Anolis sagrei: one gene and its partners. The protein of the gene in region 1 purifies or fractionates together with the protein of each later gene. This does not show direct contact. Links are inferred from orthologs where the notes say so. Each region holds a gene or a part of one and is shown in the gene's direction. Other genes may lie near its edges. The genes, in order: DHX15, SF3B3, CHERP and SF3B6.

Region 1 (7,053 bases):
GTATAGATAGATAGATTGCTGTTGGAACCAATTGAAACCAAGTCTCCCACAGCATCACTTGGAAGCCTCTCAATATATATAATATAATAATATATAGAATAACAGCATTGTGATGTAATAATACTATTATATTATATATAATATTAATAATGTTGCAATATTATATACAGTATTATGTATACTATATCTTATGATATAGTGCAATACATTATATAATAAAATAGTATATTATACTGGTAATGCATTATATATATATTGGTAAAATAATATACTATCATATAATAATATATAATAATGTCCTGATGGTGTAGTGGGTTAAAACGCTAAGCTGCTGAACTTGCTGACCAAAAGGTCAGGGGTTTGAATCTGGGAAGCAGGGTGAGCTCCTGCTGTTAGCCCCAGCTTCTGCCAACCTAGTAGTTTCAGCAGGAAGGTAATGGCACTCCATGTAGTCATGCTGGCCTCATGACCTTGGAGGCGTCTACAGACAACACCGGCTCTTCGGCTCAGAAAAGGAGATGAGCACCAACCCCCAGAGTCAGACACAACTGGACTTAATGTCAGGGGAAAAAATATTTACCTAACTAAATAATAATTGTATATTATATATTACATGTAATATTAGTAATAATATTGCAGTATTGTGGTATAGTGCAATATAGTAATATATAATACTAACATTGTGCTATGCTAATAATATATATTGTATATACATACAATATTGACAATATATAATGTGATACAATATAATACTAATATTTATTTGTTGTGTCACAGCAAACAATCCATTATATTACATTTCTAACAGAACAAAGCAAACAAACAGACAAATACAAAACTTGTGAGTTTGGTAGTTGGTTAAATGTCCTTTGACCAGTATCTAGCCACTTGGAGTGCTTCCGGTGTTGCTGCAAGAAGGTCCTCCATTGTGCATGTAGCAGGGCTCAGGTTGCATTGCAGCAGGTGGTCAGTGGTATGCTCCTCTCCACACTCGCATGTCGAGGATTCCACTTTGTACTTTGGGATGTACTTTGGCTCCACTTCTATTTAACTTTTACATCAACTCCATGGTGGAGCACCTTTACAACTTGGACTACCACCCTCCAAAACTGGCAGGAAGACACGTGTCTACCCTGCTTTATGCAGATGATGCAGTGATACTATCCAGAACTCAAGTAGGCCTGAGAAGAGCCCTGAGAGCCTTAACAAAATATTGTAATGAAGAACAGCTTCATCTTAATTATAAAAAAACCCAAAATTATGGTGTTTGCGAAATGACCCAAGCATCATACCTGGAGACTAGATGGACACAATATTGAACAGGTCTCCAGCTTTAAATACCTGGGAGTATTCTATCACCGCACAGGAAACAAGAAAGTACATATGGATTACGTAGCAGAGGCAGCACAAAAGAGCTCATATGCTATCCTAAAGTTCCTCAAAACAGGAGGAGGCCACTACATACCAGCTGCACTTAAGCTCTTTGAGGCAAAATCCATAGCACAAATGATGTATGGAGCCCAACTTGGTCCCTTCACAAACTATGCCCCTCTGGAGCAAGTACAATCAAAATTTCTAAGATCGGCGATGCAGGTCCCCAGATGTGTCTCAAACGCCACCCTGCGATTAGAGACAGGCCTTGTGAGAGTGGAGGCGAGAGTGTGGACAGCCACCCTCAATTATTGGCTGCATCTGTCTTTCTCAACATGTGGCCTTGCCCCATTAACTCTGAGAGATGAATTTCAGTCTACATGGAATAAGGCAGTGGCAACCAAAATCGCAACTCTAGGCTTCTCTCAAGGACAACTGCTAGGTATGGGATGGGACCAAGCCAAGGATCTTATTAGACAACGGATCCTGGATACAGAGCGACAATCAGACTTAGCCTGCTCTCCAGCATTCACCATTAGCGAAGATAGCAGATATCTCATCGCTCCCATGCCTTACTTAGCTAACCTGGAGGTGCCTAAACACCGAAGAGCTTTCACTTTGGCAAGATGCCACGCCCTTCCATCGGCAGTACTGGAGGGGAGGTACCGGAAGACCCCTGCTCAGGAGAGACTATGCCCGTGTGAGTCTGGCTACATCGAAACAACTGAACATGTGCTCCTCCAATGTGTGTTCTATAGAGACATTAGAGCTAATTTCATCACTCCATGGCTTTTAAAACATCCAGGGCGCACTGAAAGATATTACACCTCCCTGCTGCTCTCGGACTCTTGCTCTGCAACAACCTAGAGTGTTGCCAAGTTCTGTGCAGCAGCAATTAACATTAGATGGCTGATGACCGACTCCACCAGGCAACTTCCTGCCGGGAATATAGATAGAATGGTTTGTAATAACTGAAATGCTGTAAATGCTCCCCTCTCATCCCTTTTATAGCTTCCCATATTTGCTATTAGCCGCCCCCTATTTTAGATTCATACATGCACTTTAAACTGTAAGTTTAGTCTGTTTTATCTTTTTAATTTGTCTCTTTTATAACATGTTTTTAATCTGCTTTTAATCTGCTTTTATACTTGATCTACTTGGGAACTGCGATTCCCTCCCTTGGGCACCGATGCCCCATTCTGTACTGTGCTGGTCAAAGACCGTAATAAATCATTGATTGATTGATTGATTCCACTTTGTAGCCCCATTTCTCAAGGTTGGCTCTGCATCTCGTGGTGCCAGAGCGCAGTCTGTTCAGCGCCTTCCAAGTCGCCCAGTCTTCTGAGTGCCCAGGGGGGAGTCTCTCATCTGGTATCACCCATGAATTGAGGTGCTGGGTTTGGGCCTGCCACTTTTGGACTCTCGCTTGCTGGGGTGTTCCAGCGAGTGTCTCTGTAGATCTAAGAAAACTATGTCTTGATTTAAGTCGTTGACGTGCTGGCTGATACCCAAACAGGGGATGAGCAGGAGATGTCTCTGCCTTGGTCCTTTCACTATTGGCTGCTACTTCCCGGCGGATGTCAGGTGGTGCAATACCGGCTAAGCAGTGTAATTTCTCCAGTGGTGTGGGGCGCAGACACCCCGTGATAATGCGGCATGTTTCATTAAGAGCCACATCTACTGTTTTAGTGTGGTGAGATGTGTTCCACACTGGGCATGCATACTCAGCAACAGAGTAGCATAGCGCAAGGGCAGATGTCTTCACTGTGTCTGGTTGTGATCCCCAGGTTGTGCCAGTCAGCTTTCATATGATGTTGTTTCTAGCGCCCACCTTTTGTTTGATGTTCAGGCAGTGCTTCTTGTAGGTCAGAGCACGGTCCAAAGTGACTCCCAGGTATTTGGGTGTGTTGCAATGCTCCAGTGGGATTCCTTCCAAGGTGATCCTCAGAGCTCGGGATGCTTGTCCGTTCTTAAGGTGAAAGGCGCATGTCTGTGTTTTAGATGGATTAGGGATCAGTTGGTTTTCCCTGTAATAGGCAGTAAGAGCACCTAGAGCTTCGGAGAGCTTCTGTTCAACCATCTCGAAGCTCCCTGCTTGAGCAGTAATGGCACGATCATCAGCATAGATTAAACTCTCTGTCCCTTCTGGCAGTGGCTGGTCATTGGTGTAGATGTTGAACATGGATGGAGCAAGCACGCTCCCCTGAGGCAGCCGTTCTTCTGTTTCCGCCATCTGCTTCTCTGGCCCTGGAACTCAACCAAAAAGCTCCTGTTTTGTAGCAGGTTTCCTATGAGGCAGGTGAGGTGGTTATACATTTTTCTCAGGAGGAGGCGGTGGTTCACAGTATCATAGGCCGCTGACAAGTCTATGAAGACAGCTCCATAATACAATCTAACAATATATAAAAAATATTGTGATATAGTAATGCTGATATATTAAATATAATTACCACTGACAATTTACAATAAGACATAATGTCTTATTCTTGCATATTTTAAGTTGTAATGTTTTTGATTGTGAGCCGCTTTGAGTCTCCGTATGGAGAGACAAAGCGGGATATAAAAAAATAAAATAAACCGGAGGAGGAACTATTCTGCAGAGCGGAACGGAAATGCTAGGGAACAGAATTTCCGGCCGGACGTCTTACGCGCTGCACCGCATTCCCTTTCTACGCTGGGAAAGGCTCGCCTCGCGGCCGGCGCTGGCTTGCTTGCTTCCTTCCTGCCGCCATTTTAGCTCCTCGCTCTCTGGCTCGGCGGCGGCCTCCTCGGCTCTCAGCTCCCGCCATGTCCAAGCGGCACCGCCTCGACCTCGGGGACGACTACGGCTCCAACAAGAAGCGGCTCGCCTCCGACGGGTAAGACCCGAGCCGGGGCGAGGGAAGAGAACGGGAGGGGAGGCGCCGCTTCTCTCCCTCCCTCCTCCTCCTCTCTCTTTGGCCTTCGTTGTTTTGTGAATCCACTGAGGGGAGAGGGTGGTGGGAGGCGAATGTTGCTCATCTGGTTTTGGAGAACGCTCAGCGCCATTGGCCCTCCCTTACGCGTTATTTTTAGCCTCCCTTTTAGAGAACGAGGCATTGAGAGGCCTGGAGCCAGGCTTCGCGGCCTCTTTGTTGTAGCCAGGCTGAGGCCTGATCTACACTGAACTGCGGCGGCCAGACAACGAAACTCCCACAAAACCACGCGAAAGGAAGCCCTTAATCACTACCCAGGTCTCAAACTTTGTAATCATTTGGTCAACGAAACCCATTTTCTTCCATACCAGGGTTGTTGAAACTGCATTGAATGGTCAAATGGGGCCTAAGGATCAAGTGTCGTCAAATGGGCTGCTGAAAAAGCGACTACCTTTATAATAATAATAATAACCTTTATTTATACCCCCCCCCCCCGTCCTCAAGGACTTGCGGCAGCTCACAACAGAATCAAGTCACAATACATACATAAGTAGAAACCAAAAAGACAACAAGCATAGAGTTTGAAGAGACCTCATGGGCCATCCAGTCCAACCCCCTGCCAAAAAGCGCCAAAATGCGCCATATACTATTACATGAAACTTTGAGTTGGCATACACTTCTCTATCCCCTTAGCAAGCCATGACACCTTTAAAACCATTTATCAATTTTACATAAAATCTGACAATCAAAGAGCTGGAAGAGACCTCATGGGCTATCCAGTCCAACCCCCTGCCAAAAAGCAGGAATATTGCATTCAAAGCACCCCTGACAGATGGCCATCTAGCCTCTGTTTAAAAGCTTCCAAAGAAGGAGCCTCCACCACACTCCGGGGCAGAGAGTTCCTCTGCTGAACAGCTCTCACAGTCAGGAAGTTCTTCCTCATGTTCAGAAGGAATCTCCTTTCTTGTAGTTTGAAGCCATTGTTCTGCGTCCTAGTCTCCAGGAAAGCAGAAAACAAGTTTGCTCCCTCCTCCCTGTGACTTCCTGTCACATATTTATACATGGGTATCATATCTCCGCTCAGCCTTCTCTTCTTCTGGCTAAACATGCTGAGCTCCTTAAGTTGCTCCTCATAGGGCTTGCTCTCCAGACCCTTGATCATTTTAGTTGCCCTCCTCTGGACACATTCCCGCTTGTCAATATCGCTCTTCAATTGTGGTGCCCAGAATTGGACACAATATTCCAAGTGTGGTCAAACCAAGGCGGAATAGAGGGGTAGCATTCCTTCCCTAGATCTAGACACTACGCTCCTATTGATGCAGGTCAAAATCCCATTGGCTTTTTTTGCCGCCACGTCACATTGTTGGCTCATGTTTAACTTGTTGTCCACGAGAACTCCAATAGCTTTTTCACCCATACTGCTCTCAAGCCAGGCGTCCCCCATTCTGTATCTTTGCAAGACCTTATATATAACCAATAATCATAAAAGAATTTTTTTAAAGTATCACAATAAATAAATAACAGATTAAAAATGGTACTTGGTTTCAAAACATGGAGTCAATAGGCTAAAAAGCTAAAAAACCACCATCAGAATGAAAAGCAACCAACCATTTTCAAAAGCCAGCTTCCGCATTCAAGTTTTTCGCTCTTTCCTAAAGTTAGTTGTCTGATTACTTTCGGGTGAGCATTCCAAACCTGGGGGGCCACCACCAAGAAGGTCCTTTCTCATTCCCATCAGCCATGCTTGTGAGGGTGTTGGGACCATCGCTTCTCGGCCTTTTGGCTAAGATCAAGTGTAGAGAAGCCACCCCCCCCCCCCCAGGACTTTCAGGCCCGAGTTGGTTCATAGGGGAAATGCGGTCCCACAAATAGGCTGGATCTTTCACTCCTGCTTCATGTTGACCATTTGTAAGTGGAAAGCTAAGGAATCAGATAGAAAGTATTGGGGGCCATCTGCACAGGCCTGCAATGCAGTTTATCTGCATTGAACTTCATTATATGATTTTACATTGACCGTATAATAAAGTTTCAAACTGCATTATATAGCATTGGAGATGGGGCCTGTGTTTCATACATGGGAAAAATCAGCTTCATTTGAACCAGATACACATGCTGTCTGTGCTTCATATATCCAATGACAAATGTGCCATATACTATTACATGAAACTTTGAGTTGGCACACACTTCTCTATCCCCTTAGCAAGCCATGACACCTTTCTGAGAGTCTCAGAAAGCTGATTCCTGCAAGCAAAACCTTCTGCAGACCCTTTAAAACCATTTATCAATGTTACATAAAATCTGACAATCATAGAGCTGGAAGAGACCTCATGGGCTATCCAGTCCAACCCCCTGCCAAGAAGCAGGAAAATCACATTCAAAGCACCCCAACAGATGGCCATCCAGCCTCTGCTTAAAGGTCTCCTAAGAAGGAGCCTCCACCACATTCAGAGGCAGAGAGTTCCACTGCTGAACAGCGCTCACAGTCAGGAAGTTCTTCCTAATGTTCAGGTGGAATCTCCTTTCCTGTAATTTGAAGCCATTGTTCTGCGTCCTATTCTCTAGGGCAGCAAAAAATAATAATAATCATCACCATCACCTTTATTTTTAACATTCACAAAATATCAAAACATATAATATAAAACACATAATATAAGACAAAATTGCGTAGATTAAAATACATATAAAATATAAATCTCCATAATTTAGAATTATCTGTTATCAGCATCGCCACAAGGTAAAATCAATGATAGTCTACTTTCATTCCTTGCTCCCTCTTCCTTACGACTTC
Region 2 (7,325 bases), on another chromosome or scaffold:
TAAATCCCAGCAACTACAACTCCCAAATGTCAAGATCTATTTCCCCCAAACTCCATCTGTGCTCATATTTGGACATATTGAGTATTCCTACCAAGTTTGGTCCGGATCCATCATTGTTTGAGTCCACAGTGCTCTCTGGATGTAGGTGAACTACAACTCCCAAACTCAAGGTCATTGCCCACCCAAACCCTTCTAGTATTTTCTGTTGGTCATGGGAGTTCTGTGTGCCAAGTTTGGTTCAATTCTTTCGTTGGTGGGGTTCGGAATGCTCTTTGATTGTAGCTGAACTATAAATCCCAGCAACTACAACTCCCAAATGACAAAATCATAATTTTTGAGTGAAGGACATACATTGGGTTGTTAGGTGTGTTGTGTCCAAATTTGGTGTCAATTCGCCCAGTGGTTTTTGAGTTGTGTTAATCCCACAAACAAACATTACATTTTTATTTATATAGATATAGAATTATATATACACACACAGACACATACATATAGTCATGCATACATACACACACACACGTGTGTGTGTGTGTGTGTATAATCTTGGATGGCCTAGGGAAGGGCAAACACCCCTGTGGTGTTTCCTTTGCTGTCTGTGCCCTTGTTTGGAAGATTTCACCTCACTTTCTACTCTTGTAAGAATTGGATTTTGGAAATCTGCCTGTTGTGGAAACAAGGTTTGGGGCTAGAGCTTCATTGGAAACCCACTTTCCCCCTTGATACTGTGGATTTCCCTCCCTTCCTTCCCTCCTACTTCCTGTTCTCTCAGCCCCGTTGTTCTTAGCGAGGGCCCCTTCCTCCTAGCTGAAAAAAATCCCACGTTATCTGCTTTGAATTGGAATATGTGGCAGTGTGGACTCAGATAACTGTGGGATTTCCTGCCTTGATATTCTGGGTTCGATGGCTGTGTGGAAGGGTCCTAGGATGTTTGCGACTCATACAGAAATGGCATCCGATACCTTCTCGTCCCTGCCGGCTGAGCTCAATGACCGACTTGTCCAGCGAAAGGTAGCGATGGATGTGAGCGGCGGCTTGCTCGTAATCTTCGCCCCGCAGGGCCGTCTGAACTCCGTCCATGCAGAACTTCAGGTCCAAGATGTCATCCGCTCTCTGGATGGCCTGGTAGAGGCGGTTCTGCAAGAAGAAGAAGATAAAAAACTCGTGCGCCAGCTGTGCCCGTACCTTGGGAAGTCTGACTTGGCCACGGTAGTCCACGCTCTGGTTACATCCCGTTTAGACTACTGCAACACTCTCTACGTGGGGTTGCCTTTGAAGACGGCCTGGAAGCTCCAATTAGTCCAACGCTCGGCAGCCATGATTTTAACAGGAGCGGAGCGCAGAGAGCATACAACTCCTCTGCTGCACCAACTCCACTGGCTGCCGATCTGCTACCGGGCTCAATTCAAAGTGCTGGCGTTGACCTTTAAAGCCCTAAACGGTTCTGGCCCAACTTATCTATCCAAACGTATCTCGGCCTATCAGCCCACCAGGACCCTAAGATCTTCTGGGGAGGCCCTGCTCTCTATCCCGCCTGCTTCACAGGTGCGGCTGGCGGGGACGAGAGACAGGGCCTTTTCTGTGGTGGCCCCGCGGCTCTGGAACGCCCTCCCCATGGAGGTAAGATCAGCCCCCTCATTGATGGTATTCCGGAAAAGACTAAAAACCTGGATGTTCGAGCAGGCGTTCGGTTAACCCAGTGCAATAAATGTAATGATTGAAGGACTGGCAATTTGGACGACGAAACTGGATCACGTTTTTAGTCAAGAGATGTATTGGATTGTTTATTGATATATGTATTGTGGATTATGTTTTTATGCTTTTTAAACTGTATACTGTTGTTTGTTATAAGTTGTTGTAAACCGCGTTGAGTCGCCGGCTAGGCTGAGAAACGGCGGTATACAAGTATAGCAAATAAATAAATAAATAAAATAATGAGCCATCCCTGCAGTTGGCCTCCTGCAGCCAAGTGGGTACGGAGGAGATGACGGGGCGATTCCTGCCTGACAGGGTTACCTTGGCCAGATCCAGCTGCCGGACTTTGCTGCTGACGTTCTCTGCCAGGTTGCAGGTGAAGGTGATCATCCCGGCCAACTGCTTGGCATCGCCTTCGATCAGCTGCAGGTTGGGGCTGGAAACAGAGAGGAGGGAAAGAAGCCACTCTGGCTCTCACGGCGTCCACTCTCTCCGTCCTTGGCAATGTTAGAGCCTTGCACCCCTAAACACCCTTGCAAACTATGTGCAAAATATCTCACTCACCCCATGCGATGGAGGGAAGCCATCTTGCCCTCGATTGTGCCCTGCTGTTCCAGAAGCATCTCCAGCTCTTCCTCGACTGTGATCTGAAAACATACCAAGGGAATGGCTTTTTAGGTGTTCACTGTAACCAAAATAATAATAATAATAATAATAATAATAATAATGGCTGCATGGCCATCTGTCAGGAGTGCTTTGATTGTGCTTTTCCTGCATGGCATAATGGGTTTGGACTAGATGGCCCTTGGGGTCCCTTCCAACTCTAGGATTCTATTATTATTACTGAGGCTGGGTGGCCATCTGTTGGGAGGGCTTTGATGGCGCTTTTCCTGCATGGCAAGGGTTGGACTGAATGGCCCATGCGATCCCTTCCAACCCTATATTATTATTGAATATTATTGAGGGTGGTATTATTATTATTATTATATTATTATTATTATTATTATTATTATTATTATTATTATTATGCCTGCATGGCCACCTGCCAGGGGTGCTTCAATTGTGCTTTTCCTGCATGGCATCATGGAGTTGGACTGGATGGCCCTTGGGGTCCCTTCCAACTCTATTATTATTATTATTATTGCTGAATGGCCACCTGTCAGGGGTGCTTTGATTGTGCTTTTCCTGCATGGTATAATGGGTTTGGACTGGATGGCCCTTGGAGTCCCTTCCAACTCTAGGATTCTATTATTATTATTATTATTATTATTATTATTATTATTATTACTGAGGCTAGATGGCCTTTGGGGTCCCTTTGAACTCTATCATCATCATGAATATTATTGAGGCTGGACGGCCATCTATCAGGGAGGCTTTGATGGTGCTTTTCCTGCATGGCATAATGGGTTTGGACTGGATGGCCCTTGGGGTCTCTTCCAACTCTAGGATTCTATTATTATTATCATTATTACTGAGGCTGGATGGTCATCATGTCAGGGGGGCTTTGATGGTGCATTTCCTGCATGTCAGAAAGGGGTTGGACTAGTTGGCCTTTGGGGATCCCTTCCAACTCTATTATTATTATTATGGCTGAATGGCCATCTGTCAGGGGTGCTTTGATAGTGCTTTTCCTGCATGGCAGGGGTTGGACTGGATGGCCCTTGGGGTCCCTTCCAACTCTAGGATTCTACTACTACTACTACTATTATTATTATTACTGAGGCTAGTTGGCCTTTGAGGTCCCTTTGAACTTTATCATCATCATCATCATTACCATCATGAATATTATTGAGGCTTGACGGCCATCTATCAGGGGGGCTTTGATGGTGCTTTTCCTGCATGGCATCATGGAGTTGGACTGGATGGCCCATGTGGTCTCTTCCAACTCTATTATTATTATTATTATTATTATTATTATGGTTGCATGGCATCATGAGGTTGGACTGGATGGCCTTTGGGGTCCATTCCAACTAGGATTCTATTATTATTATTATTATTATTTCTGAGCCTGGATGGGCTATCTGTTGGGAGGGCTTTGATGGTGCTTTTCCTGAATGTCAGAAAATGGTTGGACTAGTTGGCCTTTGGGGGTCCCTTCCCACTCTATTATTATTATGGCTGCATGGCCATCTGTCAGGGGTGCTTTGATGGTGCTTTTCCTGCATGGCAGAAAGGGGTTGGACTAGGTGGCCTTTGGGGGTCCCTTCCAACTCTATTATTGTGATTCCATGACCCTCCCCCATATTCCTTCATTTCCGGGTTGGGCTGGATGCCCTCTGGGGACCCTTCCTGCCTCCTTTCCCACCTCTTCCGCGCAGAGGCGGCTGTAGGCGGCCTCGAGCTCCGTGAGGCCGGGGAGGGCGCGTATTTCCTCCATGGAGAGCGAGGCAGAGGCGGCAGGAGGAACTCCGGGTCCGCCAACCGCGCGGCCTTCCTTCCCCAGCGCCGCCATCTTGGCCCCGCGCCCCTCACCATCATCACTTCCGGTTTGCCGGTCGAAAATTGTCTCAGGCGCGCCGAGGGCAGCCCCGCAGAAGAGCGCAAGGAAGGAAGGACCCCTACTCAAAAGCATCACTTCCGGTTGGCCGGGCGGAAGTCGCTCCGGGAATTCGCTCAGGCGCGCCGAAGGCAGCCCCGGGCAGAGAGAGAGGAAAGAAGGAAGGACCCCTTTTGGCCTGCGCGCGCGGGAAGAGAGGCCGCCATGGCGCCGCTGAGGTGAAGCAGGCCGCGGCCGGGAAAATCCTTCGCCATCCTCGCCGTGCCGGGGCCCCAGCCACGCCGGGGAGACTCACAACGGGAGCCGGGGTCTCCCTTGGGCCGGGATTGGAGGTAGGCCCGGGCGGAGGAGCCGGAGAGGCCGAGGAGGAGGAGGAGGAGGAGGGCCGGGGCCTAGGCCGGAGCCTCAAGCCTGGCCGCCCAGAGGGATAGGAAGGCCTCCTCTGAGGGAAAGGCCTCAGAGTGAGTGTTAGCATAGAATACAATAGCTTTCACGCCTGGCCGCCGTGAGGGAAAGACCTCAGGGATTCCTCGCATATCAAAGGGAAAGGCCTCAGAGTGAGTGTAGGAAGGTCTTCTTTCTCAGAGCTGGAGAAGGGAGAAAGCCCCTACCACACGGGAGATGTGCACAAATAATAAGGAAAGGAAGGCCCCCTCTGAGGGAAAGGCCTCAGAGTGAGTGTTAGGAAGGGCTTTTCTCTCAGTGCTGGAGAAGGGAGAAAGTGCGTCTGGCCGCCCTGAGGGAAAGGCCTCAGAGTGAGTGTGAGCATAGAATAGAATAGCTTTCACGCCTGGCCGCCGTGAGGGAAAGGCCTCCGCAGAGAGACTTCGCATAGCAAAGGGAAAGGCCTCAGAGTGAGTGTGAGCATGGAATATAATAGCTTTCATGCCTGGCTACCCTGAAGGAAAGGCCTCAGGGATTCTTCGCATATCAAAGGGAAAGGCCTCAGAGTGAGTGTAGGAAGGTCTTCTTTCTCAGAGCTGGAGAAGGGGGAAAGGAGGCACATCAATGTGAAGCCATGAAGTTCAGCATAGCCATAACTCTAGAGTAAAAGTGAGCCTTCAGCCTGCCTGTCCTTGTCTTTGTCACCCTGCACCGTCTGCCAGATGGCAATAATAAGGCATTGTAAGGAGGGCCTTCCTTCTCAGAGCTGGAGAAGGGAGAAAGTAGGTAGGCCACGGTCCCAATGACACTCAAGCAATACTGGGTATACACACAAATACATAGAATATAATAGTGTTGGCCCATGCCTGATGTGCATTGTACAATGAGATTAAATGCTTTCCCCTTGCACACACTGCACAACCCCCAAAACCACATCAATGTGAAGCCATGGAGTTCATCATAGCCACAGCTCCAGGGTGAAAGCGATCCTTCAGCCTGCCTGTCCTTGTCTTTGTCACCCTGTGCTATCTGCCAGAAAGAAATAAGAGAAGAATATAATAGAATAGAACCGCTTTATTGTTATTGTGCATCTGGAATGGGCCTGGTGTTGGTCCACGCCTGATGCGCATTGTGCAACGAGATTAAATGCCTTTCCCTTGCACATCCCCTCAGGCCACATCAATGAAATGCTATGGAGTTCAGCATAGCCACAACTTAAGAGTAAAAGCTATCCTTCAGCCTGTCTGTCCTTTTCTTTGTCACCCTGCACTGTCTGCCAGGTGGCAATAAGAAGGCATTTCTTCCTTCTCAGAGCTGGAGAAGGGAGAAGGTAGGCAGGCCACAGTCTCAATAACACTCAAGCAATACTGGGTATACACACAAATATATAGAATAAATACTTTTATTATCATTGTGCATCAGGAATGGGTCTGATATGCATTGTACAGCGAGATTAAATCCCCCCCCCCTTGCACACACTGCACACTCCAAGGCCTCATTGGTGAAATGCCACAGAGTTTAGCATAGCCACAGCTCTAGTCAGTCAAAGCGATCCTTCAGTCTGTCTGTCCTTTTCTCTGTCACCCTGCGCCATCTGCCAGATAGCAATAATAAGAGGAGAATAGTATAGAACAGCTTTATTGCCATTGTGCTTCAGGCATGGTCCTGGTGTTGACCCAGCACATACCGCAAAACAACACACCTACCCCTCCACATTCTAATTGTTATGGCACATCGATGTGAAGCCATGGAGTTCAGCATAGCCACAGTTCCAAAGTAAAAGCTATCCTTCAGCCTGTCCTTGTCCTTGTCGCACTGCACCATCTGCCAGATAGCAATAATAAGAGAATAGACTAGTATAGAATAGCTTTATTGCCACCATGCATCAGGAATGGGCCTGGTGTTGGTCCATGCCTGATGTGCATTGTGCAACTAGATTAAATGCTTTCCCCCCACACACCGCAAAGACAACACACGCCCACCTCCACCGCACAGCCTCCAATGCCACATCAATGCAGGCTGGCAGCGGTTCCAGTGACACTCAAGCAACACTGTATATATGCACAAATACATAGACTAGAATAGCTTTGTTGTCGTTGTACATTAATAATGGGCCTGGTGTTGGCCCATGCCTGATGTGTATCGTGCAACAGGATTAAATGCCTTTCCCTTGCACATCAACGAAGTGCTGTGGAGTTTAGCATAGCCACAGCTCTAGGGTGAAAGCTATCCTTCAGCCTGCCTGTCCTTGTCTTTGTCACCCTGTGCCGTCTACCAGGTGGCAATAATAAGGCATTGTAAGGAGGACCTTCCTTGTCAGAGCTGGAGAAGGGAGAAAGAAAATTGATTCCTTCTTAGCATATCAAGGAGATCAATATATTCAGAGTGTGGTGTTTTCATGTTGACAAGATGCTTTCTTCCTCAAACCAAATATTGAGGGATTTGCAAAGTGGTGTTTTGATTTTGGAAATGCTTGTATGATGCATTCTTGCCTATGATCTCGATCCCCTTTTCTGAATCGGTGAGCATTCATTTCAATGTGTGGATCGATTCCATTCTATGCGTTTGTCTCTAATGGCTTGACTCTGTTGCTGGCAGGAGGACGGAGGTGAAGACCTCGAACCGGCACCATGTTCCTTTACAACCTGACCTTGCAGCGAGCCACAGGCATCAGCTATGCCATCCATGGCAATTTTTCAGGTGAGTGCCATTCTAACTGGTAGCATGTATGTGCAGCTAATGCAGGAGCCAC
Region 3 (7,206 bases), on another chromosome or scaffold:
CAATAAAAGCGCCAGTGACGATGACGATTTGCTTTTTCTCAACTTCGACAGAGCAACATATTTTAAAATCACCTCCTTATATCTTACAAGGACTTGGTTCTTGCTCTCCTTCAAAGAGCTGGAGCTTCCCAAGAGTCTGGGATCACAGGCTACAGAAGCAACTGGAAGTCGGCTTGCTTTTTCAAAAAGGGACTTAATGGGATGCAAATGTAGGACTTAGAAAAGTTTTGAGTTTCAGTGTACAGGAATTAGGATTCTTTGCGTGTGTGTGTGTGTGTGGAAAGCTTGTAAGCTTCTAACCGGGAGGCGAAAAGCCCACACATGTTGTAATTATACGTTTTGAAATATGGGAAGATGTAAATAAAGATGAATTCTGCAAAGTGGGGATGGAGTCTGCACACTATGTTTGTTCCGGGCGGAGAGAGAAACAAGAGGAGCTGGGACTGTTATTATTATTATTATTATTATTACTACTACTACTACTACTAGCTGTACCCTGCCACGTGTTGCTGTGGCTCAGTCTGGTTAAATGGAAAAGAAAGAGCTGGTTTCTGATATATATAATTTCATAATGCTTGTGGCTATACAAGTTTTTGTTGTTTTTTTGTCTGTGAAATAAGAATAATAATGATGTAAAAAAATCACAATACTGACCTATATAATCTATATAAATAAAAATGTAATGTTAGTTCGTGCTACCATCAGAACTCAGAAACCACTGGGGGAATTGACACCATATTTGGACACAAGACACCTAACAACCCAATGTATGTCCTCCACTCATAAAAACACTGAAAAACACAGCAAAGGGGACTTAAAAAGCCCACAAAAGCTAAATGACGAAAAGATAAATGACAATTTGGGAATTGTCGTTGCTGGGATTTATAGTTTACCTACAATCAAAGAGCATTCTGAACTCCACCAATGATGGAATTGGGCCAAACTTAGCACACAGGGCTCCCATGACCAGTAGAAAATACTGGAAGGGTTTGGTGGACATTGACCTTGAGTTTGGGAATTGTAGTTCACCCACATCCAGAGAGCACTGTGGACGCAAACAATGATGGATCTGGACCAAACTTGGCACGAATACTCCATATGCCCAAATATGAACACAGATGGAGTTTGGAGGAAATAGACCTTGACATTTGGGATTTGTACTTACTGGGATTTATAGTTCACCTACAATCAAATAGCATTCTGAACGCCACCAATGATGGAATTGAACCAAAGATGGCATACAGGACTTCCATGACCAACAGAACACACTGGAAGGGTTTGGTGGGCATTGACCTTGAGTTTGGGAGTTGTAGTTCACCTACATCCAGAGAGCACTGTGGACACAAACAATGATGGATCTGGACCAAACTTGGCAGAAATCCTCAATATGCACAAATGTAAACACTGGTGGAGTTTGGGGAAAATAGACCTTGTCATTTGGGAGTTGTAGTTGCTGGGATTTATAGTTCACCTACAATCAAAGAGCATTCTGAACCCCACGAACGACAGAATCGGGGCAAACTTCCCACACAGAACCTCCATGACCATCAGAAAATACTTAAGGCCATCCAATCCAACTTCCTTCATCAGGGCAAGAAAACACAAAGTCCTCCTGACAAAGAGCCATCCAGTCATAGAAATAGATAGATATGATTCACACAGAGAGAGATATATAGTATCATAGATTTGAAAGGGACCCTTAAAGGACAATGATACGTTGAATGTTCCAGAGTGGGCAACCAGACACTCTCCACATCAACACTGACAAAGAAACAGCAAGAAATACTGTTTACCCACAGGCATAAAGAAATTATAAATATTAGAAACCAACACTTTCTCATTATTTTATTTTCCAGATCAACAGACGGCCACAGCAACGCGTGGGAGGGGACAGCTAGTAATGCATAAAAATCACAAAGTTAAAAACTTGGCATTGCACTAAATGTCTTTTGACCATAAGCTGGCCAACTGGAGTGCCTCTGGTGTTGCTGTAAGGAGGTCCTCTATTGTGCATGTGGCAGGGCTCAGGCTGCATTGTAGAAAGTGGTCGGTGGTTTGCTCTTCTCCACATTCGCATGTTGAAGACTCCACTTTGCAACCCCATTTCTTAAGATTGGCTCTGCACGTGGTGTCAAGAGTGCAGTCTGTTCAGCATCTTCCAAGTCACCCAGTCTTCTGTGTGACCGGGGGGAGTCCCTCATCCAGTCTCAGACACTGATCGAGGTTCCGGGTTTTGGCCTGCCACTTTTGGACTCTCGCTTGCTGAGGTGTTCCTGTGAGTATCTCTGTAGATCTTAGGAAACTATTTCTTGATTTAAGACATTAGCACACTGGCTGATATCCGAACAGAGGATGAGCCGAAGATGTCCATTCCTTATTTTTATTATTAACTTTATTTATACCTCTCAAAATCTCCCGAAGGACTCGATACGGCTTACAAAGGCCAAAACCATTCCTTGGTCCTGTCATTACAGGCTTCATAGAATCATAGAGTTGGAAGAGACCTCATGGGCCATCCAGTCCAACCCCTGCCAAGAAGCAGGAATATTGCATTCAAAGTATCCCTGACAGATGGCCACCCAGCCTCTGTTTAAAAGCTTCCAAAGAAGGAGCCTCCACCACACTCCGGGGCAGAGAGTTCCACTGCTGAACGGCTCTCACAGTCAGGAAGTTCTTCCTAATGTTCAGATGGAATCTCCTCTCTTGTAGTTTGAAGCCATTGTTCCGCGTCCTAGTCTCCAAGGAAGCAGAAAACAAGCTTGCTCCCTCCTCCCTGTGGCTTCCTCTCACATATTTATACATGGCTATCATATTTCCTCTCAGCCTTCTCTTCTTCAGGCTAAACATGCCCAGTTCCCTAAGCCGCTCCTCATAGGGCTTGTTCTCCAGACCCTTGATCATTTTAGTCGCCCTCCTCTGGACACATTCCAGCTTGTCAATATCTCCCTTCAATTGTGGTGCCTAGAACTGGACACAATATTCCAGGTGTGGTCTAAAGATCGGACTGCAAAGACTCATAGAATCAAAGGGTTGGAAGAGACCTGATAGGCCATCTAGTCCTGACTGTGAGAGCTGGGGAGGAAGGGGAACATGAGCCAGCAGTGTCATGCGGCAGCTAAAAAAGCCAATGGGATTTTGGCCTGCATAAATAGGAGCCTAGTGCCTAGATCCAGGGAAGTCCTGCTCCCCATGCTCTATTCTATTCTGCCTTGGTCCAACCACTTTACCTGAAATCACACTGTGTCCAATTCCAGGCAATTGAAGGGAGGTATTGACTCTTAGCTGGAATGTGTCCAGAGGAAGAGGGCGACTCAAAGGATCAAGGGTCTGGAGAACAAGCCCTATGAGGAGCAACTGAAAGAGCTGGGCATGTTTGGTCTTCAGAAAAGAAGGCTGAGAGGAGACATGAATGTGCCATGCATCCAGAGGTGAGGGGAAGTCACAGGGAGGAGGGAAGTCTTGTTTTCTGCTGCCCTGGAGACTAGGACATAATGGGGCAATGGTTTCAAACTGCAGATAGGAGATTCCACCTGAACATGAGGAAGAACTTCCTGACTGTGAGAGAGAGCCGTTCAGCAGTGGAACTCTCTGCCCCGGAGTGTGGTGGAGGCTCCTTCTTTGGAGGCTTTGAAACAGAGGTTGGATGGCCATCTGCTGTGGGGGGGCTTTGAATAAGATTTTCCTGCTTCTTGGCAGAATGGGGTTGGACTGGATGGCCCACCAGGTCTCTTCCAACTCTAGGATTCTAGTATTCTCGTTGTTACAACCCAGAGCTGTTCAGCAGTGGAACTCTCTGCACCGGAGTGTGGTGGAGGCTCCTTCTTTGGAAGCTTTGGAGGCTGGATGGTGATTTGAATGAAATATTCCTGCTTCTTGGCAGAATGGGGTTGGACTGGATGGCCCATGAGGTCTCTTCTATGATTCTCAGGAGGAGACGATGATTTACAGCAGTCCTGGGCCAATTTGGGCCCTCCTTCCCTCCCTTCAGGTCTTTTGGACTCCAACTCCCACCATTCATTACAGCCTTAGGCCCCTTCCTTTTCCCCCTCAAAGCGGAAATGGAAAAGGAAAGGACCTGAGGCTGTGAGGAATGGTGGGAGTTGCACCAGTCTCTTTCCGGAGTGGGCGTGGCTTAACAAGACGGGGCAGCCCCGCCCACTTTCTTGGCGATGGAGCAAATGCGGCCGGCGGAGATTTGGTTCCCTTTGGCGCTCACTGCGCACGCGCGCGGAGGCAGAAGGAGCGGAGGTTGGCGCGGTTCCTAAGGCGACGGCGCTGCTGCCGCAAAGTGCGGGCGCGCGGGGGAGTGTCGTGCTCAGCCCCGCCAAAGGGGCTCCCTTGACGGCTGGTGCGGCCTAGTCGCGCCTCTGAGGAGGACCTCACTCACTCGGAGTGGTCTCTTCCGACCAGCGCCACCATGGAGATGCCGCCGCCCCCGCCTGAAGGTAAGGCCCCGGCTCATTCGCACTCTGCCCATGCTCAGGGGACGGGCAAAGGGAGACTTCCCGAGAGAGAGAGAAAGAGAGAGGTCGGGGGACAGGCCTCTAAGGCCTCATGAATATCCCATCCCATTTTCAATCTTTCGAAACAGGTTTTTACTCTCAGCCGTTATTCCAATTTTTTTAAAATAATAATTAAAAATTGGCAGAAGTATTCACCAAAATATTGGCAGAAAGAAGCAGAAATCTCAATTAAAATGTTCGCAAGAATATTCATAAAAATATTCATTACAACACTCGAAATATTTTCAGAAATAACCAAAAAATAGTCAGGAATATTCTCAAAAAAAGTTTTTCAGAAATATTAATTGAAACATTTTCAGGGGAACTTCCATTCAGATGGAATGGAAGTCACTTCCCACATGTGGTGGGAATGTGAAAAAATCCAAAAGTTCCAAGAAATAATCAGGAAAGAAATGGAGGAGCTATTAGGGATCAAGATAGAATGGAATAAGGCCCAAGTTTTCACTCAGAAATTTGAAAGTAAAAAGGAATATAAGGAAAGTGAGGAAATAATAAAACATATGATAGAGGGAATTAGAGCCTCGGTGGCCCTGGGCTGGAAAGACCACAAGAAATGGGATACAAAAACCTGGTACAAATATTTAGCAGATTACCTTCTTCAAGATTATATTAGCGAAAGGAAAAGTTACTATATGACAGGTCAAAGCAAAAAGACATGGAAAGCAAAATGGAAGGGTCTCATATATAGAATAAAGGGGAAAGATAAATATACGGTGTTGAACAAAACTATTATCATGATTGAACAATTGTAATAAACACAGCTAAAGTATTTATTTGTTCCCGGGGGGGGGGGGGGATTGTGGTGGTGGCGGGATTGGGGAAAAAAATGGTATTTTGAATGTTACTTTCAAAGATGGTATGTTTCTATGTATTATACTGTACAATAATAATTTAAAAATTTTTATTAAAAAAGGAATAGAAGTCACTTTTTTTCTTTCATTTTTATTTCTAATTTGTGTGTGTGTGTGGATGTATTCTTGTAGTTTATTTTTATTTATTTTTTTAGGGTTTTATTTAGGATACCTTTTTACTTCTTACTTTATTGGCCTTTCCCTCTCTCTTTTTTTCTTTACTTTTCTATACCTTATTGTTCTCACTCTTTCGTTGTATTCTATATAAAATTTAATAAAATTTCTTTAAAAAAAACATTTTCAGGGGAATTCACAACATATTCACGAAAATGCTCAAAAGTTTCACACCTAGCTCCAGCAGACAAGAGTCCTTTGTCCCACCCTGGTCATTCCACAGATATATAAACCCATTTTTCTACTTCTAACACACCTCACTACCTCTGAGGATGCTTGCCATAGATGCAGGCGAAACGTCAGGAGAAAATGCCTCTAGAACATGGCCATATAGCCCAAAAAAATCTACAATAACCCAGTGATTCCGGCCATGAAAGCCTTCGACAATACAATGCTCAAAAGTATTTTCAGAAATAATCTAAAATGTTCACAAAATAATGTCAGAAATAACCAAATATATTAAAATATTTTCAGAAATATTACAAAGTATTCATTAAAATACACACAATTTTTACAGAAATCAAAAATATTCATTGAAATATTTGCAGAAATATTCACAAAAATTGTAATATAGTCATTAAAATATGCTCAACATATTTTCAGAAATCAAAAATATTCATTAAAATATTTGCAGAAATATTCACAAAATATTCATTAACGTACCCACAATTTTTACAGAAATCAAAAATGTTAACTGAAATATTTGCAGAAATATTCACAAAAATTGTAATATAGTCATTAAAATATGCTCAAAATATTTTCAGAAATCAAAAATATTCATTAAAATATTTGCAGAAATATTCATTAAAGTACACACAATTTTTACAGAAACTATCAAAAATATTCATTAAAATATTTGCAGAAGTATTCACAAAGTTATAACATATTCATTAAAATATTTTCGGGGATATTCACAAAATACTAAGAAATATTTGCAGAAATAATCTAAAATGTTCACAAAATAATTTCAGAAATAACCGAATATATTAAAATATTTGCAGAAATATTACAAAGTATTCATTAAAATACACACAATTTTTACAGAAATCATTAAAAATATTCATTGAAATATTTGCAGAAATATTCACAAAAATTATATCCATTAAAATATGCACAAAATACTTTCAGAAATCATTAAAAATATTCATTAAAATACACAAAAATATTCTCAGAAATGAAAATAAATGTTTATTAAAACATTTGCAGAAATATTGACAAACATACTTACAGAAATAATCATAAAAATTGTGAGAGTTCAAAACAACTGTAGGAAGGGACGAAGTTATCCCAGGCCTGATTTATCGTGTAATGTGACACTGGATTAATATGTAAGCTGCTATGTAAATGTGACACTCATGTGAAGCCCCTTTCAATATAATTTATATTTTTCCTGCAAAGCCTTCCATTGGGTCCCTTCCATCCTATATATTATTGATTTGGCATGTTATTATCTGGTTTATTTTTACTTTGCATATACTATTCATTGTATTTATTTATGTTGTAAGCTGCCCCAAGTCCTTTCGGTGAGAGGAGCCGGGTATAAATAAAGTTTATTATTATTTTTATTATTATTGAGTCTGAATTTAATAAATGTAAATAATAATATGGAATTATAAGTAAGAATGTTATATATGTGTGTGTGTATGTATATAACTCTA
Region 4 (6,872 bases), on another chromosome or scaffold:
ATGCATTTTAACAACAAAGACTAGGCTTGCCTAGTGACCCATGGGAAAATAGAAATGCTCTTAGGAGATCCAAGAAGTCCACTACTTAATACAAGTTGCTTTGATTTTATGATTAATTCCATAAATGTTGAGACACCAAAGAGTTCAAGAAGCGACTTTTAGTTTCATTTCTGCCTTCACAAAGAAAAGTCTTTCTAGAATACTCAACGAAAGAAATACTTTTGTTGCCAGGACTAGTTCTGACAAATAATTTCCCTGCTCCTTCCTCATTTCTTAGTTACTAATCTGCTACTTCAGATACAGAATGTCTCAGACTGCCATTGTCTTTTGTCACAAAGGAGTTGCTGCTCTGAAATCTGACAATCAAAAATGGCACATAACTTCTGAACTGCAATATAAAATACAAGTTATCTGCTCTGAACTGGATTATATGGCAGTGTAGACTCATATAATCCTGCTCAGAACAGATAATGTGGATTATCTGGTTTGATTATCTGGATTGTCATATAAAATCCAGGTATCTGCTCTGAACTAGATTATATGGCAGTGTAGATTCGTATAATCCTGCTCAAAGCAGATAATGGATTATCTGATTTGATCATCTGGACTGTCATATAAAATGCAGGTTATCTGCTCTGAACTAGATTATATGGCAGTGTAGACTCAAATAATCCGGCTCAAAGCAGATAATGTGGATTATCTGCTTTGATCATCTGGATTGCATGGCAGTGTAGACTTTCCCTGTGAAATAGCTGGCTGCCACTCATTTATCTACTCCTTTGAAAACGATCCATTAATTCACTTTATTTGTGATTCCATCTAGTTGTGCACTTCCTTGTTTTATTACCCTCCCGAGTGACATTTGTGGAGGCAAAAAATACAGGATATGAATTCAATAAACAAATCTGTAATTGAGATCTGGAAAGAAAGGGACCCTACCACACAGCCCTCTATTTCAGAATATCAAGGGAGAAAATCGCTTTAAACTGTGTTATCTGAGTTTATGCTGCCATATATCCCAGTTCAAAGCAGATAATGTGCGATTTTATTCAGCTGTGTGGAAGGGGCCTAAATCAGAGACAACTTCTGCTTTTTGGGAGATGTTTACTATGAAGATACAAGAGGGGAAAGAAAAATCTGCTCATAGGGAAATCTAGCTGCATTAAATGGGCAGTAAATATTTTGGAGGACGAAACTAGCAAGACCACATCTGGGTATTACTTGCCTAAGAAAACCTATTTAAGCGGTTGCCATAAATCAACTTGAAAGCTTACACAACCAAAAAAGATGACACTATGTAACAAAATTTGAAAAAAAAATCTGTCCCTGGTTTGAAAGTGTTATTTCCTATTTAATTGTGCAGCAGTTACTTTGAAAGCAGTTGCTCGACTCCAGAAACTTTGTTTTGGTGGCTACAGCCCTAAACGGTTTTGGCCCAGCTTACCTGTCTGAATGTATCTCTCCTTATGGACCATCTAGGACCCTAAGATCTTCTGGGGAGGCCCTGCTTTCGGTCCTGCCTTCTTCACAGACTTGGTTGGCAGGAACGAGGGACAGGGCCTTCTCAGTGGTGGCCCCTTGGCTATGGAACGCCCTCCCTAGGGATATCAGATTGGCCCCCACCCTCCTAACATTTCAAAAAAAAAAAGTCAAAACCTGGCATTTTGCGCAAGCTTTCCCAAATGCAGTGTAGCAGACAAACTCAGATCTTCGGAACAACTGAACAATGCGACTGGGTAATGATTTTAGTAATGAAACGCTGTGGCATAATACTTTTATCAGTTTTATTTTATTGTATCAAATGTTATTTATGCTAAATGTTTTAATTGTTCTTTGTTATTGTAGGCATCAAATTGGGCCGTTTGTAAACCACCCTGAGTTTCCTTTGGACTTTTTTTTTTGTCGTGTCAGGAGCGACTTGAGAAACTGCACAGTATCTGCTTTGAACTGGGTTATCTGAGTCCTCACTGCCATATAACCCAGTTAAAAGCAGATAATGTGGGGTTTTATTGAGCTGTGTGGAAGGGGCCTCAGCAAAACTGGCTACTCCATAGCCTTGAGCCATGGGAGCCCAAGTTGTGTCAAAGTGCATTCCCTCTGGAGTCTTTTCCCGCCCTTTTTGGAAGGCAAAAAGGACGAAGAGGAGAGGCGGGCTGCTTTACCTGGGACCACCATCACCCACTGGCTGCAGTCGCCCTTCTTCGTGGGGAGCTTCTTGGGCGAGGGGCGCTGCTTCGGCATGTTGCTGCTGCTGCTGCTGCTTCCTCAAAGCGAGGAAGAGGAGAGCCTGCCCTCCCACTCTTTCCCACTCTAGACCGACCAACACGTCCGTGCTCCCCTTCGACATCGGATTGTTTCGAGCCAGGACGCATGCGCAGTGCAGTTTTAGAAGCAGATTGTGGGTGAGACTATTGACTTGGGGTGCATCTCCTACACTGTAGAATTAGGTTTTATCTCTTGATTTGTGTTATTTTGTATTTTTATACGGCGTTGAACATTTGCCGTTCGATATATTGTAAGCCACCCAGAGTCCTCACTGAGATCCCTTCCACACAGTTGAATAAAACCCCACATTATCTGCTTTGAACTGGGATATATGGCATTATATATCCCAGTTCAAAGCAGATATTGTGGGGTTTTCTGCCTTGATATTCTGGGTTATGTGACTGTGTGGAAGGGCCCGGGGGAGATAGGGCAGGGTAGAAATAAAATCTCATTCATTCATTTTAATGGGAGCTGTAGTTTTACCAGGTCTTTCGCCTCCTCTGGACCAAAAGTGTGCTGGTGCCTTGCCAAACTACAAATTCCAGGAGGAAATGAACAAAATCTGGCTACCAGTATATAAAAACTCTAAAATCAGGACAGTAAATAAAGAACAACACTCAAAACCAGGGGAATTCCAGAAAGGAAACAATCAGGGCCAACTAATCACCTCCCAACAAAGGATTCCCCCAGGCAGAAAGCAGCCAGGTTTTGAAGCTGCAAGGCTATTAGGGCTAATCAAGGTGGCCAATTGCTACATTCACGCCTGCCTCTAGCAGACAAGAGTTCTTTCTCCCACCCTGGACATTCCACAGATATACAAACCCCACTTGCCTAGTTTCCAAAAGAGATCACAACCTCTGGGGTTGCCTATTATTATTATTATTATTATTATTATTATTATTATCTTTATTTGTACCCCGCTAGCATCTCCTGAAGGACTCGATGTGGCTTACAAAGGCCAAGGCCTCAAAACACAACATAACAATACACAACCTAAACCAAATTAAAAACAGTTAAAGCAATATTAAACAACAAGCAATAAACAATACACCAGCACACAATAAAACTGGGCCGGGCCAGAGTAATGGGTACAGAATTAAAAGTGCTGATGTGACCGGTGATACGTAAGGATTATAGGGTAAGTGCAGTGTGCCAGCAATCTTAATTCTAATAAAGTGCTTCTGGGACTTATTGATGGAGTTTTCCTATTCTGGGAAGGCACATCGGAACAGCCCGGTCTTCAAGTTCTTTCTGAAGACTGTAGTCTTTGGTGATCTTTAGTGATCTTAGACAGGCAAAACATCAGGAGAGAATGCTTCTGGAACATGTCCATACTGCCTGGAGAACTCACAACAACCCAGTGATTCCGAGCATGAAAGCCTTTGACAACACATTTAACTGTCTTTACTTGGCCTTCAAATAATCTCCTGAGCTGCTATTAGCTGGTGAAAGGTGAAAACCTTTTTTGTGGGATGCAAGGATCTCCTTATATTGCGTGCGCTCCTCCTCGCCTCTAGGGGGCGGAGAGCCCAAACACGCCCGGGAATCAAAGCCACGCGATGTTACTTAGCCTTGGCCAGGACCGGAAGTGACGTGTCTCTTTTCCCGGCTAAGGCAAAGAGGAAGGCGAAGCGAGGCCTTGGAGCTCTTCATCCGCCGCGGACTCGCTGCGAAGTTTCCTTATTTTTCTCCCAAGAAGCCGGAGACCCTATTAACCTTCGCCATGGCGATGCAAGCGGCCAAGCGCGCCAATGTGAGTCTGAAGGGACCCTTGTTCCTCGCCCCAGAAGCCGTTTCGTGGGACGGGGGTGTTCTGGCCCAGCAAACCAGGCGGGAATGGGTTGGCATCCCGATAAAGAAAAGCTCCTTGTCTTCCGAAGCTTTGGGCTTTTATATATAACTCTGTGTGTGAAACTAAAATTCCCAAAGGCTTCAGAAAACAAGGAGGCTTTTCACAGAGATCACTGTGTGTGTATATAGATAGATGTAGTTATATCTATGGACCTATGAGCAGTAGTCCTCAACCTGTGGGTCCCCAGATGCTTTGGCCTTCGACTCTCAGCTGGTAAACCGGCTTGGGTTTCTGGGAGTTGTAGGCCAAAACATCTGGCGACCCACAGGTTGAGAACCACTGTTCTGGAGAATGAATCCACTTAAAATCCGGTTGCTGCCTCCTGCAGAATTCTGGGATTTGTAGTTTAAGGTAGAGCCGTTAACAGCCTCACTAAACTACAAACCCCAGAATTCTGCAGCAGGCAGGAACTAGATTTAAAGTGGATTCATTCTCTAGTGCAGGGGTCCTCAAACCTTTTAAACAGAGGGCCAGGTCACAGTCTTTCAAACAGTTGGAGGGCCGGATTATAATTTGAAGGAAAAAAAACCCGAATGAATTCCCATGCACACTGCACATATCTTATTTGTAGTGCAAAAAACACTTTAAACAATACAATAATTAAAATGAAGAACAATTTCAACAAATATTTATTCATTTATTTGTTTATTTACAGCTTTTATATTCTGCCCTTCTCACCCCGCAGGGGACTAAGGCGGGTTACAGTGTACACATATATTTATTTATTTATTTATTTATTTACTTTGCTTGTATACCGCAGTTTCTCAGCCCGAAGGCGACTCAACGCGGTTCACAACATAGCAAAAACAGTCATAACAAAATAGCAATAAACGATTTAAAAACCATGAAAGCACAATATACAGTAATGGCACATCAATAACAACACAACAACGTCCCCTAACTAGAATCGTGATCCAATTCGTTGTCTATAATTCCATTCCTATATTCATCATATTCATTGCACTGTTTATCTGAATGCCTGTTCAAACAGCCATGTTTTTAGCTTTTTTCGAAACACCATTAACGTCGGAGCTGATCTTATGTCCATGGGAAGGGCGCTCCACAGCTGAGGGGCCACCACAGAGAAGGCCCTGCTTGTGATGCAGGTGGGATCGAGAGCAGGGCCTCCCCAGAAGATCTTAGAGTCCTGGTGGGTTCATAGGCAGAGATACGTTCAGATAGGTAGCTTGGGCCCGAACCGTTTAGGGCTTTAAAGGCCAACGCCAGCAATTTGAATTGAGCCCGGTAGCAGATCGGCAGCCAGTGGAGCTGGTGCAGCAGAGGAGTTTTGTGCTCCCTGCGCTCCGCTCCTGTTAGTATCATGGCTGCCGAGCGTTGGACTAGCTGGAGCTTCCGAGCCGTCTTCAAAGGCAACCCCACGTAGAGAGCGTTGCAGTAGTCTAGGCGGGATGTAACAAGAGCGTGGACTACTGTGGCCAAGTCAGACTTCTCAAGGTACGGGCGCAGCTGGCGCACGAGCCTAAGCTGTGCAAATGCTCCCCTGGTCACCGCCAAGACCTGGGGTTCCAGGCTCAGCGATGAGTCCAGGATCACACCCAAGCTGCGAACCTGCGTCTTCAGGGGGAGTGCGACCCCATCCAACACAGGCTGTAACCCTGTACCCTGTTCCGCCTTTCGACTGACCAGGAGTACCTTTCGACTGACCAGGAGTATGGAAAACATTCAATGCCAATTTTGACATACAACATATACAGACAGACAGAGGCTATTTAACTTTTTTCTGGCCGCCAGGGGAGCTGTCGCTTTCATCGTCCATCTGCAACACTGATGAAGTACTTCCGCATTCCCCACATGCTTTTGCTGAAGTCTTTATGGCCTCATAAATTAGTTAATTTAGCCTCCCCACACTTTAAGGTGGTACCTTATTTTCCTACTTGACAGATGCAACTGTCTTTCGGGTTGCAAAGGTCGACAACGGGCTACACAATTGGTTGGAAACCCACTCCAACCCGGGCTGGCTTCGAACTCATGACCTTTCGGTCAGAGTGATCTTAATGCAGCTGACACTCAGCCAGCTGCGCCACAATCCCGGTGAATATAAAGTTATTAGTATTTCAATGGGAAGTGTGGACCTGCTTTTTGGCTGATGAGATAGGGTTGTTGTTGTGTGCTTTCAAGTTGTTTCAGACTTAGGTTGACCCTGTGCGAGGGCCAGGTAAATGACCTTGGAGGGCTGCATCCAGCCCCCTGGCCTTAGTTTGAGGACCCCTGCTCTAACGTGATGAAGTAGTATGTGTGTGAGAATCTATATGTGTGTGTGTGTGTGTGTGTATTTGTATATGTATGCGTATATTTGTAAACATACATATCTTGCATAATTTGATTATGTGTACTGGCCAGCTTGCTTTACATCCTACAGGTTGAGTATAATGCTCAATCCCTCTGTTAATGCAGCTCCACTGGCTCCCTGTGTGTTTCCAGGCAGATTGTTACCTATAAAGCCTTTTACGGTTTGGGTCCAGTCTATTTGCACGATCACGTCTCCCTCTATGGCAGTGGTTCTCAACCTGTGGCTCCCCAGATGTTTTGGCCTACAACTCCCAGAAATCCCAGCCAGTTTACTAGCTGTTAGGATTTCTGGGAGTTGAAGGCCAAAAACATCTGGGGACCCCAGGTTGAGAACCACTGCTCTATGGACTTACTTGGGCCCTGAGGTCTGCTGGCTGGTGGGGACAAGAGAAAGGGCCTTACGCAGTCATATCCCCTGGCTCTGGAACGCTCTCCCCAAAGATTG

What was found.
Region 2: the proteins of DHX15 (region 1) and SF3B3 purify together in Homo sapiens (co-immunoprecipitation; 4 studies listed by BioGRID and IntAct, with this or other methods). This does not show direct contact. The link is inferred for Anolis sagrei from reciprocal best matches to the Homo sapiens genes DHX15 and SF3B3.
Region 3: the proteins of DHX15 (region 1) and CHERP purify together in Homo sapiens (co-immunoprecipitation; 3 studies listed by BioGRID and IntAct, with this or other methods). This does not show direct contact. The link is inferred for Anolis sagrei from reciprocal best matches to the Homo sapiens genes DHX15 and CHERP.
Region 4: the proteins of DHX15 (region 1) and SF3B6 fractionate together in Homo sapiens (co-fractionation; 3 studies listed by BioGRID and IntAct, with this or other methods). This does not show direct contact. The link is inferred for Anolis sagrei from reciprocal best matches to the Homo sapiens genes DHX15 and SF3B6.

Annotation. Positions count from the first base shown.
Region 1 is NC_090025.1:112,388,414-112,395,466, reverse strand, and holds the start of DHX15 (ATP-dependent RNA helicase DHX15), read left to right. Parts: upstream 1-4,048; 5' UTR 4,049-4,158; coding exon 4,159-4,229; intron 4,230-7,053.
Region 2 is NC_090028.1:506,762-514,086, forward strand, and holds the start of SF3B3 (splicing factor 3B subunit 3), read left to right. Parts: upstream 1-4,316; 5' UTR 4,317-4,521; intron 4,522-7,171; 5' UTR 7,172-7,203; coding exon 7,204-7,273; intron 7,274-7,325. UniProt on the Homo sapiens protein: Component of the 17S U2 SnRNP complex of the spliceosome, a large ribonucleoprotein complex that removes introns from transcribed pre-mRNAs.
Region 3 is NC_090034.1:59,700,265-59,707,470, reverse strand, and holds the start of CHERP (calcium homeostasis endoplasmic reticulum protein), read left to right. Parts: upstream 1-4,191; 5' UTR 4,192-4,417; coding exon 4,418-4,445; intron 4,446-7,206. UniProt on the Homo sapiens protein: Involved in calcium homeostasis, growth and proliferation.
Region 4 is NC_090021.1:139,467,344-139,474,215, reverse strand, and holds the start of SF3B6 (splicing factor 3B subunit 6), read left to right. Parts: upstream 1-3,850; 5' UTR 3,851-3,988; coding exon 3,989-4,018; intron 4,019-6,872. Other genes in the region: RNASEH2B (ribonuclease H2 subunit B), read right to left, coding at 2,163-2,241.